Stegostoma tigrinum: one gene and its partner. The protein of the gene in region 2 interacts with the protein of the main gene of each other region in a pairwise test. Links are inferred from orthologs where the notes say so. Each region holds a gene or a part of one and is shown on either strand. Other genes may lie near its edges.

What was found. The genes of interacting proteins can lie anywhere in the genome.
Region 1: the proteins of cep43 (region 2) and cep19 interact in binary tests that used the Homo sapiens proteins (3 or more experiments, as listed by UniProt). The two-hybrid records come from large-scale screens. The link is inferred for Stegostoma tigrinum from reciprocal best matches to the Homo sapiens genes CEP43 and CEP19.

The regions. Positions count from the first base shown.
Region 1 is NC_081367.1:5,361,648-5,369,490, reverse strand, and holds the start of cep19 (centrosomal protein of 19 kDa), read right to left. Parts: upstream 3,017-7,843; 5' UTR 2,824-3,016; intron 1-2,823. Other genes in the region: pigx (phosphatidylinositol-glycan biosynthesis class X protein), read left to right, coding at 3,181-3,238, 6,915-6,993. UniProt on the Homo sapiens protein: Required for ciliation. Recruits the RABL2B GTPase to the ciliary base to initiate ciliation.
Region 2 is NC_081362.1:27,317,649-27,325,656, forward strand, and holds the start of cep43 (FGFR1 oncogene partner), read right to left. Parts: upstream 3,017-8,008; 5' UTR 2,790-3,016; coding exon 2,709-2,789; intron 1-2,708. UniProt on the Homo sapiens protein: Required for anchoring microtubules to the centrosomes. Required for ciliation.

The DNA of each region.
Region 1 (7,843 bases), on a different chromosome or scaffold from region 2:
CGGGTCAATCCCTAATGATCTTGATACAAGAGGCTGAGGACAGGTGCTCTTTTGTCTGAAACTAGCTGTATAGTCATTTCCATGATTAGAGTTCGAAAACTGGAAGGGAGCAAGTGCAGGCTTTCATAGCTAGCAGAAGTTTTGTCTCTTTGATTTAAGATATGTTCTTCCGTCTTGAGGAGATATTCTTCCATTTGACAATCTGATCCCGTAACTGGGCAACATTTGCTAAACAATACTGAGTGTTCTAAGAATTAACTGACAATCAACAATATAAGGTCGTGAGTTGGTCTCGCAGAGTGGAGCACTTTCATGCACTAGAAAATGTTAAACACAGGTACCTGTTATTTGCAGACAAAACGTACAGATATTGCACAAACTTCAATTAAACAAAATAGAGGACAGATATTTTCTAGCTCTTCCTCGGATAATGTCTTGAATAATCAGTGTCAACCTGATTGGTTTAAATTTATACAAAGCTTGGCAAATTAACTGTTAGTCATCATTTAACTAGTACATTATCTATGGCAACATCATATCAAGCATTCAGTACTCTACTCATTCAGTTTAAAATACTATTCCCTTCTAAATTAGTATTCTTGCAAATTGAGTGAAAGGTGAAAATCTTCAAAAGAATGTGTCTTTTTCATCAAAAGACAAGTTAATACTTAATAATCACTATTATAATTCTAATATTATCTTAATGATGGTGTTAATTCTCATCATAATTCTTAATATTAATGGTGGATAGACAATGCCAAGAGTGATTCATCACTGAAAGGAGTACATATGATGGAAGCAGCCAGACTAGCTCAGAACAGATAGTGATGGAGTAAATTAATTCAACCTCACTGTCACTGCTAAGCTGAATTGAAAGGCTGCAGTTATTGGGCAGACCGATGTCATTACCTATGGTCCCCATGACACACTGTCCTGTATTGCCCTTCCCATTCCCAATCACAGTCTCAGCTTCAGCTAGACTGTTTGCACCTTCTGTATTTTGTATAATGTGAACTGATTCTCTTTCCCTAACCTTTCCAACACAATAACATCATCTGCCTCTGCAGTGTTTGCACTTGCTGTTGAAAGCATGTCACCACCAAACCTGACTACTTCAGTATTTTCTTGGCCACCCTCCTCTTCATCACCACTAAATGTCAACTCATTCAAAATCTGGCTATCTTATTCTGCATCAGGTCCCATTCAGTCATCAACTCTTGCTGCTCTGATGTAGATTTGCTCCCATCCCACAACAATTCAGAATTACACAGATAGAAAGAAAAGTGCAGGAACAGTCCTTTCAGTTCTTTGGTCAATGTTCATGTTCATTACTAGCTTCCTTCTACCTACCTATCTCCACCTAACCCCATCAGTCTTCAGTTTCTTTCTCTCAGATGTATCTTTCTATATTTCCCATAAATATTTCTATACTATTCACCTAATCTACTCCATATTGTAACTGGGTACACGGTCTAAATCACAGATTATTGTTGTTGTGGCACCATTGTCTTACCAGATAATAGGGCTGCTCTCATTAGAGAGAGACAACTGGTAGTTATTTAACCTGAGGGCCACTGTACATCAGGCAAGGGGAAGAGGTTGAGGACAGTCCTTCATGGTAACCTATTGAACCCATGCTGTCAGCATGACACTGCTTCGCAAACCAACTGGCCAGTCGACTTGCTAAACTGACCCCCAATTACAGATATTAATGTTATCTAGTTCAGAATCCTACCACAGGTGAAAACTTTATTTTCTATGTTGTCATGATTTTAAAATTGCCATCCTCACGTTTAAATCACTTCACACCTCCGCACTTCCTCACCTCTAACCTCCTTTAGATCTACAACCGTCTCCAAACACCCCGTTCGCCCAGGCCCCAGGTTCTGGAATTTCCTGCTAAACCACAGCTTCATCATCTCTACTAATATTTCCTTCTCTAGTGAAACAGCACTAAGCAGTGCCTTTATTGTAGAATACAAGTTAATAGAAGTATGTAAATAAGGTAATTTAAAGCGCGATTCTGAAGTGATCGAAGATCAAGGAGATAGTTCTTGAGGCAGAATCTTGACTTGTATAGTTAATCTTTGTTTAAACAAAAATGTCACGTTTGACCACTGACTAAAAGACTCTTGCAAAACTAAATAATTTCTGTCCGAGACCAAATCATAATATACTTATTAATTTTAAAATATTGATGTTTATACAGCATTTTGTACGAAAAGAAAGTCCAGACAGAACTTTACAAAAGGTGGAATCCAAAAACGAGAATAAGTGATTGATACAATTTTACTTTCACTGGCAGAATCTCTAACTGGGGAACATGATTACAGAATAAGATGAGACTCATTCAAAACAGATGTGAAGGAATTCTGAACTCCAGAGAGTTGTGGAGACTACTACCCAGAATGTATTTAAAGAGGAAGTAGATTTTTGAAAATTTGAGTGCTATGAGACGCTACCACGAAGGATGTAGGTAAGCTATGATCCAATGGAAAAGATTAAAGGGGCTAAATGATCCACTCCTGTTCCTGGTTCTTATGTTCTTTACACTGCTATAAGGGAGTAATAAAACGCCCGCTAATATTGGTAAAACTAATCACTGATATAAATCTAAATGCTATCAGTTCCAAGTAAAACTTTCAGTAATCACTAACATAGTTTCATATCTGGAGTCATTGACTAAATGGAAACATCAACTACTGGTCTACTTTACAGCCCGCAAAGGCCCTCCCTCAGCAATGATCTGTAATGAGATATATAAAACTCTCATTAATCATTAGTTATATTTCAATTTTGCTTTTTTAAAATTTATAAACAAACCTGAGTGCGGCTAAACTCGGCCTTCACAACCTCTTGATGCCCATGGCAACCCAGCCGATTAAAAAGACCCCTTCTGCGACTGATTGATCTCCTGCCTGACTTTGAACTATAATTTACTGCCACCGTTCACCCATTTTGACCTGAAGAATCACTCGGACCAACGACATAGCCGTTAGTCCACCTTGTCCCGCTGTCCCACCGTCAAGGAGAGGCGGTGAACCGAAAGGATTAACTGGCTGTGCGCTCAGGCAGTGCCGAGGACAGCTGCGGCCTGCGTCCTAGGCCGGACCCCCACCCCCCCCCCCCGGGGCTAAATTTAAAAGCCAGTGTCGGGCTTGGCGCGGGGAGAGGCCGGTTATGGATGGGTATTGGGCTGTGCTCGTTGTTGAGTATCTGTGTGTCGCTGCTGTCACATGTAAGAGTAATTATAGGGTGGCCTGTGGGTCTCGGAGAGCCGGCGGGGGGCTGTTTATGAGCAGAGACCGAGAAAGAGCCTGATTTACTCTCAGTTGAGTGGCAGGTCGTGGGCGCCGTCCAGTTTTCGGCGATGTCTGACGGCGTTGTCAGGGAAGGCTAACGCCTCTTTGAGCAACGCCCCCCCCCCCCCCCCCCCCAACGCTCCGAGCTGGGGGGAATAACAGTGTCTGCCTCCGCCTCATCTCTGAGAAATGGCTGGAAATGCAACTCAGAACTTGGGTCAACTGAAGTGAAGTCGTGTGCTGGCCTCCTCGTCAATAGTAAACTGTTTCTGGAAAGGTTAAGTCTGCCACAAAATTAAACTTGTCCCTCAGCGAAAAGCCCAGTAGAATCGTGCAGCACAGACCAGGCCCTTCGGCCCATCACGCCTGTAACGCCAAAGCTGGACCAAATCTACACTTTCCAACGCTACGCCAATAACTTTGAATGTTGTGGCATTTAAAACTGCATATGTTGGAAATCTGCAGCAAAAACAGAAATTGCTGGAAATACACACAGCAGGTTTGGCAGCATTACTGGGGGGGGGGGAACAGGTTGACATTCTTGTCCAATGAAAGGTTAAAAGATGAATCGTCATTAACTTGAAATGTGGAGTGTCTGTCTTTCTTTCTGCAGGTGTTGTCAGACATCCTTAGTATTTCCAGCACTTACTGTTTTTGTTTCAGTTTTGGCCCTTATGAAGGTGGGATGATCTATAGAAACCAACTCTTTGGCACCAACAAGACAGCCTAGACATCCCAATCTGACCTGGACTCCTTTGTCAGCATTTGGCCTATATCCCTTGTTCCTTCCTATTCATATACCCATCCAGATGCCTTTTAAATGTTGTGTTTATACGTGCCTCGACCATGTGCTCTGGTAGCTTGATCCAATAATGCATCACCCTCTGCATGAAAAAGTTACCCCTCAGGTTGTTTTAAATCTTCCCCCATCTCACTTTAAAGCTATACCATGTAGTTTCCCCATACTCTTGGGGAAAAGGCCTTGGCTATTCACCCTATCCATATCTCTCTTGACTTTATAAACCTCTACAAGGTCACCCCTCAACCTCTGATATTCCAGGAAGAGAAATCTCCAGCCAATTAAACATCTCCCTCCAGTCCTGGCAACATCCTTATAAATACTTTCTGCATCCTCTCAAGGTTAACAACATCCTTCCTACAGGAGGTTGACAAGAATTGTGTGCAGTATTCTAAAAGTGGCTTAACTAATGTCCTGTGAAGCCATAACATGCCTTCCGACCTCTAATACTCATTGGTACTGACCAATGAAGGCAATCGTCTGCTGACACTTCGTTTTCAAGGCTGACATTGACTCTGGAGCTTCTGAAACCATGTGTCATTTGTGGAGATGAAGTCCACAGCTCAAAATTGTCATCTTCATTGATGGGCAGCTGACATTTTCCATCAAGTCATGTATGGAGCAGCAGTCCTTCCATGTCAGCAGAGAAAGCATAAGTCACTGGTACGGAGAAAATGAATAAAACGGTAGGAGTTAAGCTCCATGTTTTATTCCATTTTGATCTGAAAATTGTTGGGAGCAGCCTTTGAAATGAATGATGCCTTTCTTTTTTTGTAATGGAAGGCCATATGTGGGGCATACAAAGAGAACGGTTTTTTTTTTGAGGTATCTGGTAGTGGCATGCCTCCTCACAACATTTGATTTGATCAGCCAGGTGCTAGGACTTGTAACCCACAAATGTGGCATCACAATGCTACCTTATTTAAAGAAGGCAATCTGAAAAGAATTCACCATATTAAAATGGTACCATCTAGTACAATGTATGGCTGCATCACTGTAGAGCTGATAAAATGAGAAAAGGAGCTCCTGAAAATCAAAATCTAGCCCTTGAAGAAAAATGATCTTGACCTCAATTTAATGCATTACAATATTCAGTGACAAACCACTGACACCAGTTACAAGAACTCGCAGCACTAATATTCTCAAGTTCAGAAAACACTCAGTGCTAGTGCTACTGCTACTCCTACTAGGTTCTGGGAACACACAGCCCTAATACTCCTAGGTTTAGGGAACATGCAGTGCTAATGCTTCAAGTTCAGAGAATGTTGGGCCCTTGTGCCACTCATTTAAGAGAAAGCATTTTTTTCTTTCAAGTTGGGGAACACAGTGCTCACATTTGCCTTTCTCAGGCCTTTCTGTTCCTGCACAATAGTTAAGATTGTTGTAGTTAATTTCTGTCATCTGTTATTTTAAAATGCATCACCTCACATTTGTTAAATTTCATCTGCCATGTTTTTGCCCACAACATCTTTCTGAGTTCTTCCATGATCCTCCTCACTGTTTATATTTTGAAATATTTTGTCATTGCAGACTTTTAAATCATGCCTTGTATGTTCAGCTACAGGGTTTAAAAAAAGTGTGATCCTGATTCTGAGAACAACTGGGGAACATCACTGTATACCGTCCTTAGCCAACTGTACATGTCCAGACTTTAGTTTTACTAACAATTCTATTATTTAGAACTTCTATCACATGCCTTTTGGAAGTTCATATAAGATTCAATTACTCTTACCAACTCTCTCCATTACTTGTTCAAAGAACTCAATTTTGTCAGAAGTTGGTGATCAATTTGGAAAGGTATGTTTTTCTGTGTGCCGGACTGTTGGCCAAATTTCAGGTATCTTCCGTATAATTAGTTATAAATGAGGTCTATTATTCTCACATTAATGTTTCAATATTACAATTGTGATTGAAGAAAGAAAAACTTGTATTTATATCACATCTTGTCCCAGGACATCTCAAAGTACTTTACAGCTAAGCATGTTAATTTGAAGTGCAATCACTGATGTTAAATAGTAAACGTGTAATCAGTTTGAACCCAACAAAATTCCATAAAGAACAATATGATGTTGACCACAATTTTTTGAGGGGTCTATATTCGCAAAGATAGCTGCTTTTGTTTGGAAATTGTTATGGCACCATTAATATTCATTTGTGAGAGCAGGCAGGGTCTTGGTTCAGCATCTCAGCTGAAACACAGTATTTCTGACAGTTCAGCACTCTTTTTGTACCAAATTGGAACATTACCCTAGTTTTTTCAGCTTGATTTTCTGGAATGGGACATGAACTCAAAGCCTGCTGAGTGAGAAGTCTTCCCCACTGAGTATGCCGATACTTCAAAAGAAAGTACTTCTTTGGTTGATAATTGCATTGGCATGCTCTGAGGTCATCAAAGACATGATATAAATGCAAATGCTTCCTCCTTTCCTGCTTTCTCTTTATTCTGTGCCTATTTTAAGGAATAGTTTGATGAATTGATTTCCTAGACATGTCATTATGGCAGTTCTTTAAGTGGCATTCTGCCATTTCCTACTTACATGCTATGTGAAATCTCACATCTTCAGCTTTTCTTGACATCTAGCTGCCCTAGAATTCAAGTAGTAAGCTTTTAGATCTTTACAGATTTCAGTAGCATGATATTTGGAAGAAAATTTTCTCCAGAATATGCTGGAAAAGACTTAGTGGGAGAAGGGGACACAGATGGGAAATTTCTATGCATCTCCTAAATTTGAAAAAAAAATTCTTACCCAATTCCACCTATTAAATACTGACTCATACTGAGTGTGGAATGTTACTGTTTTCTGTTTGTGCAGGTAATGATCCTTTGCACTCTGAGTCCTGGCTTCGATCAGCGAGTTTGAACAGACATATTGCAAAGAATGGATTTCATAGGTAAGAACTGACAGATTATAAATATATTTCTGCATTATTTTAACTCGAGATGACTAATGGAAGCAGAATTGGTTGAAGCAGGGCGCTTTTCCAAATCTTGTCTTTGTCATATTAGCATTCATTTAACTGGACAAATTAGTAAATAATGTAACAGATTTTAGGGCTGAGAATGTATTCTTTAAGAAAAGGCACATATGGATTATTAAATAGAAAAAGTCTGTCATTATACAGAAGTGCGTAATGCCGAGTTAGAATTATGTTAAAGCGCACAAAGATGCTGTATGTTACCAGGCTTTTGAATAGACCTCTAATGTTAATGTTGATCCTCCCTGTCTGCACGTTCTCGGCAGCTGTAACATTGTATCCTGTACTCTGTTCTCTGTTATATCCTGTACTCAATGAAATCAAATCTGACAGGCATTTATCACAGTGGCAACGGTGGGGGTAAGAGGAGCTAGAATAAATTTCAGAATAAAATTCAGAAAATTGGTACTCTTGGAAATACGTTGAAGGAAATAAAACACAAGAGATGCATACAGCAGAGGGTGAAAACTAATGAACTAAAAAGTAGCAACTATCTGCAGGGTGCATATAGTAAGGCAGTGAAACCACTATGATAAATATATTTGTCCTATGTAACTTTGAGGAATACAACTCATTGAAGTTTTAGATCTTTCCAGATTTCAGTAGCAAGATATTTGGAAGAAATTTCTATGCATCTCCTAAATTTGAAAAATATTCTTACCCAATTCCACCTATTAAATAGTGACTCATACTGTGTATGGAATGTTACTGTTCTGTGTTTGTACAGGTAAAATCATTGATCAGTTTCTTCTATATAGGCTACATA
Region 2 (8,008 bases):
ACAGCTGCAACATGACATCCCAACTCGTATACATTTAAAGAGGATGCAGGAACAGGACTATAACACTTTAAATACATATACAGATCTCCAACTCTCTCTCTTAACACCCGCTAGTCCTAAAAACTCTTTCCAAAATCCTGTGTTCAATCCTGGTCTCCCTGCAAATAGGAAAGATGATGCAAATCTTTCCAAGATTTTGTTTCACTGACCGATCTTTATAGCATCTTTCCCTCTCATGTGACCAATTACCTGGCTTTCATGGGTCCAAAACTTTAGATATCCTTTTTGAACCCATTCATCCAGAGTTTCATTCTCCTTAATATTCTCCACATTCACCAAAATTTTAGTCATCCCCTTATTGTCTATCTCATTCGATGCGGCATCATAACAGGATCAGCTTCTACTTGTAATTATGAATATCAAATATGAACATCAACACCTAATATGGATTCTAGAAGGATGAAATAAAACAAAAGAAAATGCATCACCGTTAAGTATAGAGACACTTCTCTTCCAGGAATGCCTATCTTGAAAGAAGTTCCCTCCAATTTAGGGGTGGCAAGGTGGCACAATGGTCAGTGCCGCTGCCTCACAGCACCAGGGACCCAGGTTCAATTCCAACCTCAGGTGTCTGTGTGAAATTTGCACATTCTCCCTGTGTCTGCGTGGGTCTCCTCCCACTGTGCAGTTTAGGTGGATTGGCCCTGCTAAATTGTCCAGTGTTCAGGGATGCCTAGCTTCGGAGATTATAAGGGGATGGGCCTTGTTGGGACGCACTGAGGTTCAGTGTGGACTTGTTGGGCGGAAGGGCCTGTTTCCACAATGTAGGGATTCTATGATTCCAATGGGAGTTCCATTTGTCTCTTTTACCATTTTTATTGTTTTGCATCCCTTCTCATGATCAATCAGATGTCTACCAGAGATCACTTTCACGGCCAGATCTCCTTTCTCAGCAACAACCACATTACCTACTGCTCCTAGTTCCAACTTTCAGGTCATATCCTTGATTGACAAATGAGTGAAAGCATTTTAGGCACATGCAGGAAAGTAGAACTAAGGACTCTACAATAGCAATCTTAACAAATGTCACAGTAAGTTAGTGGCCAAATGGCCTACTCCTGCTTCAGTTGGTTCTATAAAATCATTTCTAATGCAAGGTCATTGACCTGAAACATTAACTTCTTTTCCCCCCCTCAATAGATGCTGCTTGATATATTAAGTCTACACAACATTTTCCATTTTTATATCATTTATTGCTGTTTTCTCAAGTGAAAAAAAATGCCAGACTTTGTTATTGTGATGACACTGACACAGATAAATTCACTGTTTTTTCATAGTAGTCTTCTATCCCAGTCATTGATTTAGGATCAATGGCAAAATTATACCACACACAATCTAGGACTTCCTCTATACAACACATGTATCATTGTCCTCGATAATTATTAACTAACAAGTATGATTGTCCATATACAAAATTTCACTTTCAATGATCATGGGTTCTGCAGATCTTCGTACAACTGATGAGCCTGATTCTACATCCATATCTCCAACCATACATTTTGACAGGTATTTCTGCCAAATGATCCTGGGCCTTGAGAACTTGGCATTTCTTTCTCCCGGTTTCTTTTCCATACTTCCTCTTGCTAATAGGTGTGCTCAAAGAATACTGTCCCTTCACACGAGTTTCCTCCAAGTCAGTTTCTTCTAAATGAGTGTCTCCTATGCATTGACATCTATATTGTATTTCTTGAAGGAAACGAACCTTAAGGGAGTCTTTGAAATACCTTGTCCTCTTATGCAACTGCTTTCGCTGACAGAAGATTTGTTTTGGAAGTTGGATTTCAGGCATCCTAAGCACATGGCAGCCCAACAGAGTTTTTTTGTGATCATAGTCTAGGCTGTTAGCGGCTTCAAGAATGCTTTTGCTTGTGTGCCTGTTTTCCCAGCTGATGCAGAGGATCCATCTCAAAAAGTGTCAATGGTGCTTCAAGGGTCTTCAGGTAGCGTCTGCACGTACTCCAAGTTTCAAGCCAAATGGACAGTCAGAAAGATGACTGCCTTACATAAAAGTGAAGCTAATTAGGCTAAAAGCATGAATCTATTTAGCACACTGAAACCAGCAAATTTCTTCTACTACTGGGCTCAATTCACTTCCTTGCAAGAATTGACACATTTGATTTCTCTCAATGTTGTGTTGTGGCCTTAAAAAGGTTCTGTGATGAGAACTTGGTGTGCAGGGGAGGAGTAGAGAGAACGTACTGAGTTGGATGGAGCAACTGTAAAAGACCTTAAATAAAAAGTCAGGGCGAGGGGTAGGGTCTCAGAAACAAAAATTGTTGGAAAACCTCAGCAAGCCTAGTAGCATCAATGGAGAGAAAGCAGACGTTTTGAGTCCGATGACCCTTCCTCAGAACTGATAGCATCTGGGTTTTAAAAAAGGGGCATTTATCTTGATGATAAAGGATGGGAGGGGAGGCAAGTGTTAAGATCTGAAATAATGAGAAACCTTCACCTTGCTTGTGGTTGAAGAGCTATCGACATGAGCTAAAACCCCAAAGCCATGGGCTGTCGACTGCCTCTAAGTTCGTCCATTAAACTAACGCGTTATCCGGTGACTTAAACTTCACCGGCTCCTCAGGCCTCTGCAAACCAGCGGTTCCGCAACAAATGGCGACGACGGCCTGCGGCCTAGGGTGATGGCGCATTACCTTGATCTTGTTGAGGACGCCGCTGTTCTCCAAGGTTTGCACCAGCAAGTCCCGCAGCTCTGTGTCCTCATCCGCCGACATTTTACCAAGACAACCACCCAAGCTTTGCTAGTGCTCTATTCACAGCGGCACTTTGACAACTTTTTTATTTCTCTCCCCCCCCAAAACAATATATAGAGTCTAGTGCAATGTTTTGAAAATAATCGCTGGCGCGTGCGTGTTAAATGAAAGAAGGTTGCTGACGCTCGAGGCGGTTTGACGAACTGTAAAGCGCGAATGGAGCAGTAACGGTCTATTAAACCGAGCACGCGAGTAGCGCTGTTGGCGGCGGTTAGGGCGACGCAGGCACTGAATGCAATAAGGTACCGAACACTTCTTTAAAATGTGCCACTATTTCCTACTATTATATAATAAAACCTAAACGCTCACCATTTATTTTAAAATTAGTCGTAATTTGTTTGCAAAGCACGGCAAATTTCTCTATTAACGTACCGAATTGTGGATGTGGCTTAGAATGTATTCTGCATTTTTATACAGAGTTCATCTTAACCACGATGTTCCTCTCCAGTGCATTTAATTGTATTCATAGGAGACTTTCTATTGCCAATTCCTCCTCCTGGTCCTCACTTAGCCAACTAGTGTTATTGATTCCATCCTCAGTTGTTTCACACGCCTATAACTCGGCAACTCCTCGAAAACAAAAAGCCCCCAGCCTTTCAAATCAGAGCTCAGGTTTTGTAGTAATTCTTAAAATGAATTGGGAGAGAGCGATATAATGGTAATGCCACTTAACTAAGAGGCTGGGGCTGTTGTTCAAGACCCATTACTGTAGCTGAGATAACAAGGTGTAGAACTGGATGAACACAGCAGGCCGAGGAGCAGGAAGGCTGACGTTTCGGGCCTAGAAGGGTCTAGGCCCGAAACGTCAGCCTTCCTGCTGCTTGGCCTGCTGTGTTCATCCAGCTCTACACCTGGTTATATCAGATTCTCCAGCACGTGCAGTCCCTACTATCTCCATCACTGTAGTTTGTGGGATTTAAACGTGTGGAATTCTTTGCAGCAGAAGGCTGTGGAGACCAAGTCATTGCGTGTGTTAGAGGACAGGTTTTTGATTAATCAGGGGATCAAGAGTTACAGGAAGGTGGTAGGAGAATAGGATACAGAAACATCAGCCAGCACTGAACAGTCGAGCAGCTGCAATAGAGTAAGTGGCCCAATTCTGCTCCCCTGTCTTATGCTTTAACTTGTCAAAATTTATTAAGCCCAATTTCAATGCTTGCAATTGTACAAAACATCTCTTATCAGTTACAGATGACATCCTACATAACTCTGACAGAAATACCTATCCCTCCTCTTTGACATACAGTCTGTGATTAACCACACGATGCTTCTTCAATGCTTCTCTGTTCTGAGCTGGGTGGGATTGCTTTCGAATTTCAGTCTTATCTATCTAAATAAGATTACTACTTGCAATGGCTCATCTGTCCACTCAACACTTCTAATGTCCCTGAAGATTCTGACCACGTCCTCCTTGTGCATACTGCCCCTTAGAGACACTGCCCAAAAGCACAGCATATAGTAATGACAACTTCCAAATTTACTGAATCATCACCTCTCCCAACTGCATACAGTTGAAAGTGGAGACATTGGAAATAATTCCACAAGAGGCCAGTATGCCATCACCAAGTCACTCTTTATTGATATATGCAAAACCTTTGACACTGAACCAGCTTTCTCAGCATGAACAGAACCTGTGACACTCCTGTTTGTGCCAGCCTGGGATCCTGATTGTACCAGATTAAACAGCCCCAATCAGGGGACTCCTATTCAGAGGTCCACCTGGCTGACCTTATTACAATCACTCCAACTGCCAGTACCAAAGAAGTAGATTATTTCAGACCCACTTCAAACAGTTTCCTTGTTACACATTGCAGCACCCTACCACAGCTCACCTGCTGCTGACACCCTCATTCATGCCTTTAGACTAGGCTACTCCAACACACTACTGATTGATGCAGCCTCTGTCAACTGGGAGGTCATCTTTACAAAACTCTTCACATTTTACTTCAAAAATGATAACTGCCTACATACGGTATTTATTTTGTTTCTTGCTCTTCATAGCCAGGAGGATAGGAGGATAGCTGATTATACCCCAGCTGAATACCTAGACCAGTGACTTCCAATACAGTGCGAGGGTCTTGTCAGTTACTAAGATGTGAGCAATTTACTTGTAGCATAGTGTCCTCAAAACTAGCTGTGATTTTAGACATTTTAACTTATTTTATCTTTTTAATGGGAAAATATGTTTAAAACATGAGTGTGGCTGCAGGGAAACAGCTTATTAGCAGTACACTTTGTCATCCATGATACTACAGGGATTCATTTATTTTTCACAATCCTGTCAACAAACACAGATGCCAAGGTGAAAAATATCTCAGTAATTGTATTCACCATGTAGTTTTTTAATGAAATTTTCATATTATCTAGCACAAGAAGAGTTCAAAACAATCAGTATCTTGACAACTATATCAAAAGCCTCATAAGAGGTTTTGCCTCAATCCCTTCTTTAATAATTGTATATTTCCCTGGAAAGAGCAAGGCTGTGCAAATTTCATAGCAATTCCTGCTGCACTTTGAGTTCTACAAATTTGAGGACATTAAATTTATTTTGCAAACAAATTATTGAGGGATTATTTTCAACTTACAAATAGAGTACTGTAGGTGATTGAAATCTTACACAAAAGTGCATAATTTAATCGGGCCTTGGGTGCATTGTACATGTGGTAATAGATAAGTAGTAGACCAGAAGAATTTAAGTCAGTTCTTTTTCCAGCTACACTGTGTTGCAATAGCCTGAAAATAAATTTGTGGAGGGAGGCAAAACCAAAAAGATTCTGCTTCACATATTCAAATGTGTTGATTAGTATTTCGAAAAATGTGACCTGGAACCAAATTAAATGTATAAATAGCATTTCTTCAAACTGGTAAATATAGCAGAACATCTTAATATGTTTAATAACGTAATAACTAATTTAGTCAGGGTAAATAACAAGTTTCAATTGTACCAATGAATACCACATTCAAACACTCCAATAACCAATGTACAAATATGTCCACTTGCAAACATACATATTTTCAGGAACAGAAACACATTGTTTTAAAGGAAGGTATCCACATTCATTTAGATACTTTTTAAATTGTTTAAAATTTTCTTCAGAATTTATTTTCCCTGAAGCGTGCAGATAAGCAAACATTGGACTTGCAACGGGCATTATGATGCACAATGTTTTGTGCCAGTAAGTAAACTGGAATTATAAAAGCAGAACTTTACTGTAGAAAGAGCTAATTCAACAATTAATGCAAAATATTTTGATCCTACTAATCATTTTATTATTTATCCATAAAATCATAAAACAAGGTGTGAAATTAGGTTGCTTTCTGAATGCCAGGAGAATGTGTTTCAGGAACATAATGGAACCAGTTACTACAGAGATAATAAAATGTGAGGCTGGATGAACACAGCAGGCCAAGCAGCATCTCAGGAGCACAAAAGCTGACGTTTCGGGCCTAGACCCTTTAGAGAGGGGGATGGGGAGAGGGAACTGGAATAAATAGGGAGAGAGGGGGAGGCGGACCGAAGATGGAGAGTAAAGAAGATAGGTGGAGAGAGTATAGGTAGGGAGGGGATAGGTCAGTCCAGGGAAGATGGACAGGTCAAGGAGGTGGGATGAGGTAAGTAGGTAGATGGGGGTGCAGCTTGGGGTGGGAGGAAGGGATGGGTGAGAGGAAGAACCGGTTAGGGAGGCAGAGACAGGTTGGACTGGTTTTGGGATGCAGTGGGTGGCGGGGGGGGAAAAGAGCTGGGCTGGTTGTGTGGTGCAGTGGGGGGAGGGGACGAACTGGGCTGGTTTAGGGATGTAGTAGGGAAAAGGGGAGATTTTGAAACTGGTGAAGTCCACGTTGATACCATTAGGCTGCAGGGTTCCCAGGCGGAATATGAGTTGCTGTTCCTGCAACCTTCGGGTGGCATCATTGTGGCAGTGCAGGAGGCCCATGATGGACATGTCATCTAGAGAATGGGAGGGGGAGTGGAAATGGTTTGCGACTGGGAGGTGCAGTTGTTTGTTGCGAACTGAGCGGAGGTGTTCTGCAAAGCGGTCCCCAAGCCTCCGCTTGGTTTCCCCAATGTAGAGGAAGCCGCACCGGGTACAGTGGATGCAGTATACCACATTAAACAGAGGTTCACCTGCACATCTGCCAATGTGGAATGTCATCTTGGGGCCTGGGATAGGGGGGAGGGAGGAGGTGTGGGGACAAGTGTAGCATTTCCTGCGGTTGCAGGGGAAGGTGCCGGGTGTGGTGGGGTTGGAGGGCAGTGTGGAGCAAACAAGGGAGTCACGGAGAGTGTGGTCTCTCCGGAAAGCAGACGGGAGGGGATGGGAAAATGTCTTGGGTGGTGGGGTCGGATTGTAAATGGCGGAAGTGTCGGAGGATGATGTGTTGTATCCGGAGGTTGGCAGGGTGGTGTGTGAGAACGAGGGGGATCCTCTTAGGGCGGTTGTGGCGGGGGCGGGGTGTGAGGGATGTGTTGCGGGAAATACGGGAGACGCGGTCAAGGGCGTTCTCGATCACTGTGGGGGGAAAGTTGCGGTCCTTAAAGAACTTGGACATCTGGGATGTGCGGGAGTGGAATGTCTCATCGTGGGAGCAGATGCGGCGGAGGCGGAGGAATTGGGAATAGGGGATGGAATTTTTGCAGGAGGGTGGGTGGGAGGAGGTGTATTCTAGGTAGCTGTGGGAGTCGGTGGGCTTGAAATGGACATCAGTTACAAGCTGGTTGCCTGAGATGGAGACTGAAGGGTTCAGGAAGGTGAGGGATATGCTGGAGATGGCCCGGCTTTTGTGCTCCTGAGATGCTGCTTGGCCTGCTGTGTTCATCCAGCCTCACATTTTATTATCTTGGAATTCTCCAGCATCTGCAGTTCCCATTATCTCAGTTACTACAGAGGTTTTTTTTGCCTTGCCTAGATATAAAATTTATCCAAATACTTGGCATGTGTAAATATTCCCAAATCTTGAATAACACTACACCCATAGGGATAGTTGGAAAAAGAGAAGTGAAAATATGTAGAGTTTAAAAAAAAAAGTGGCTTAAATTACAATGTAGGAGCGAGGAAGAAGTGTGCATGAGTGCAAAATGTATGTCTTATTCATTAACTGGAATTGTGTACAGGAATACCATCAATTACACTGTCATACACTAACCTCTACAGCCTGGTATGTTTGTGACCAAGCCGTTT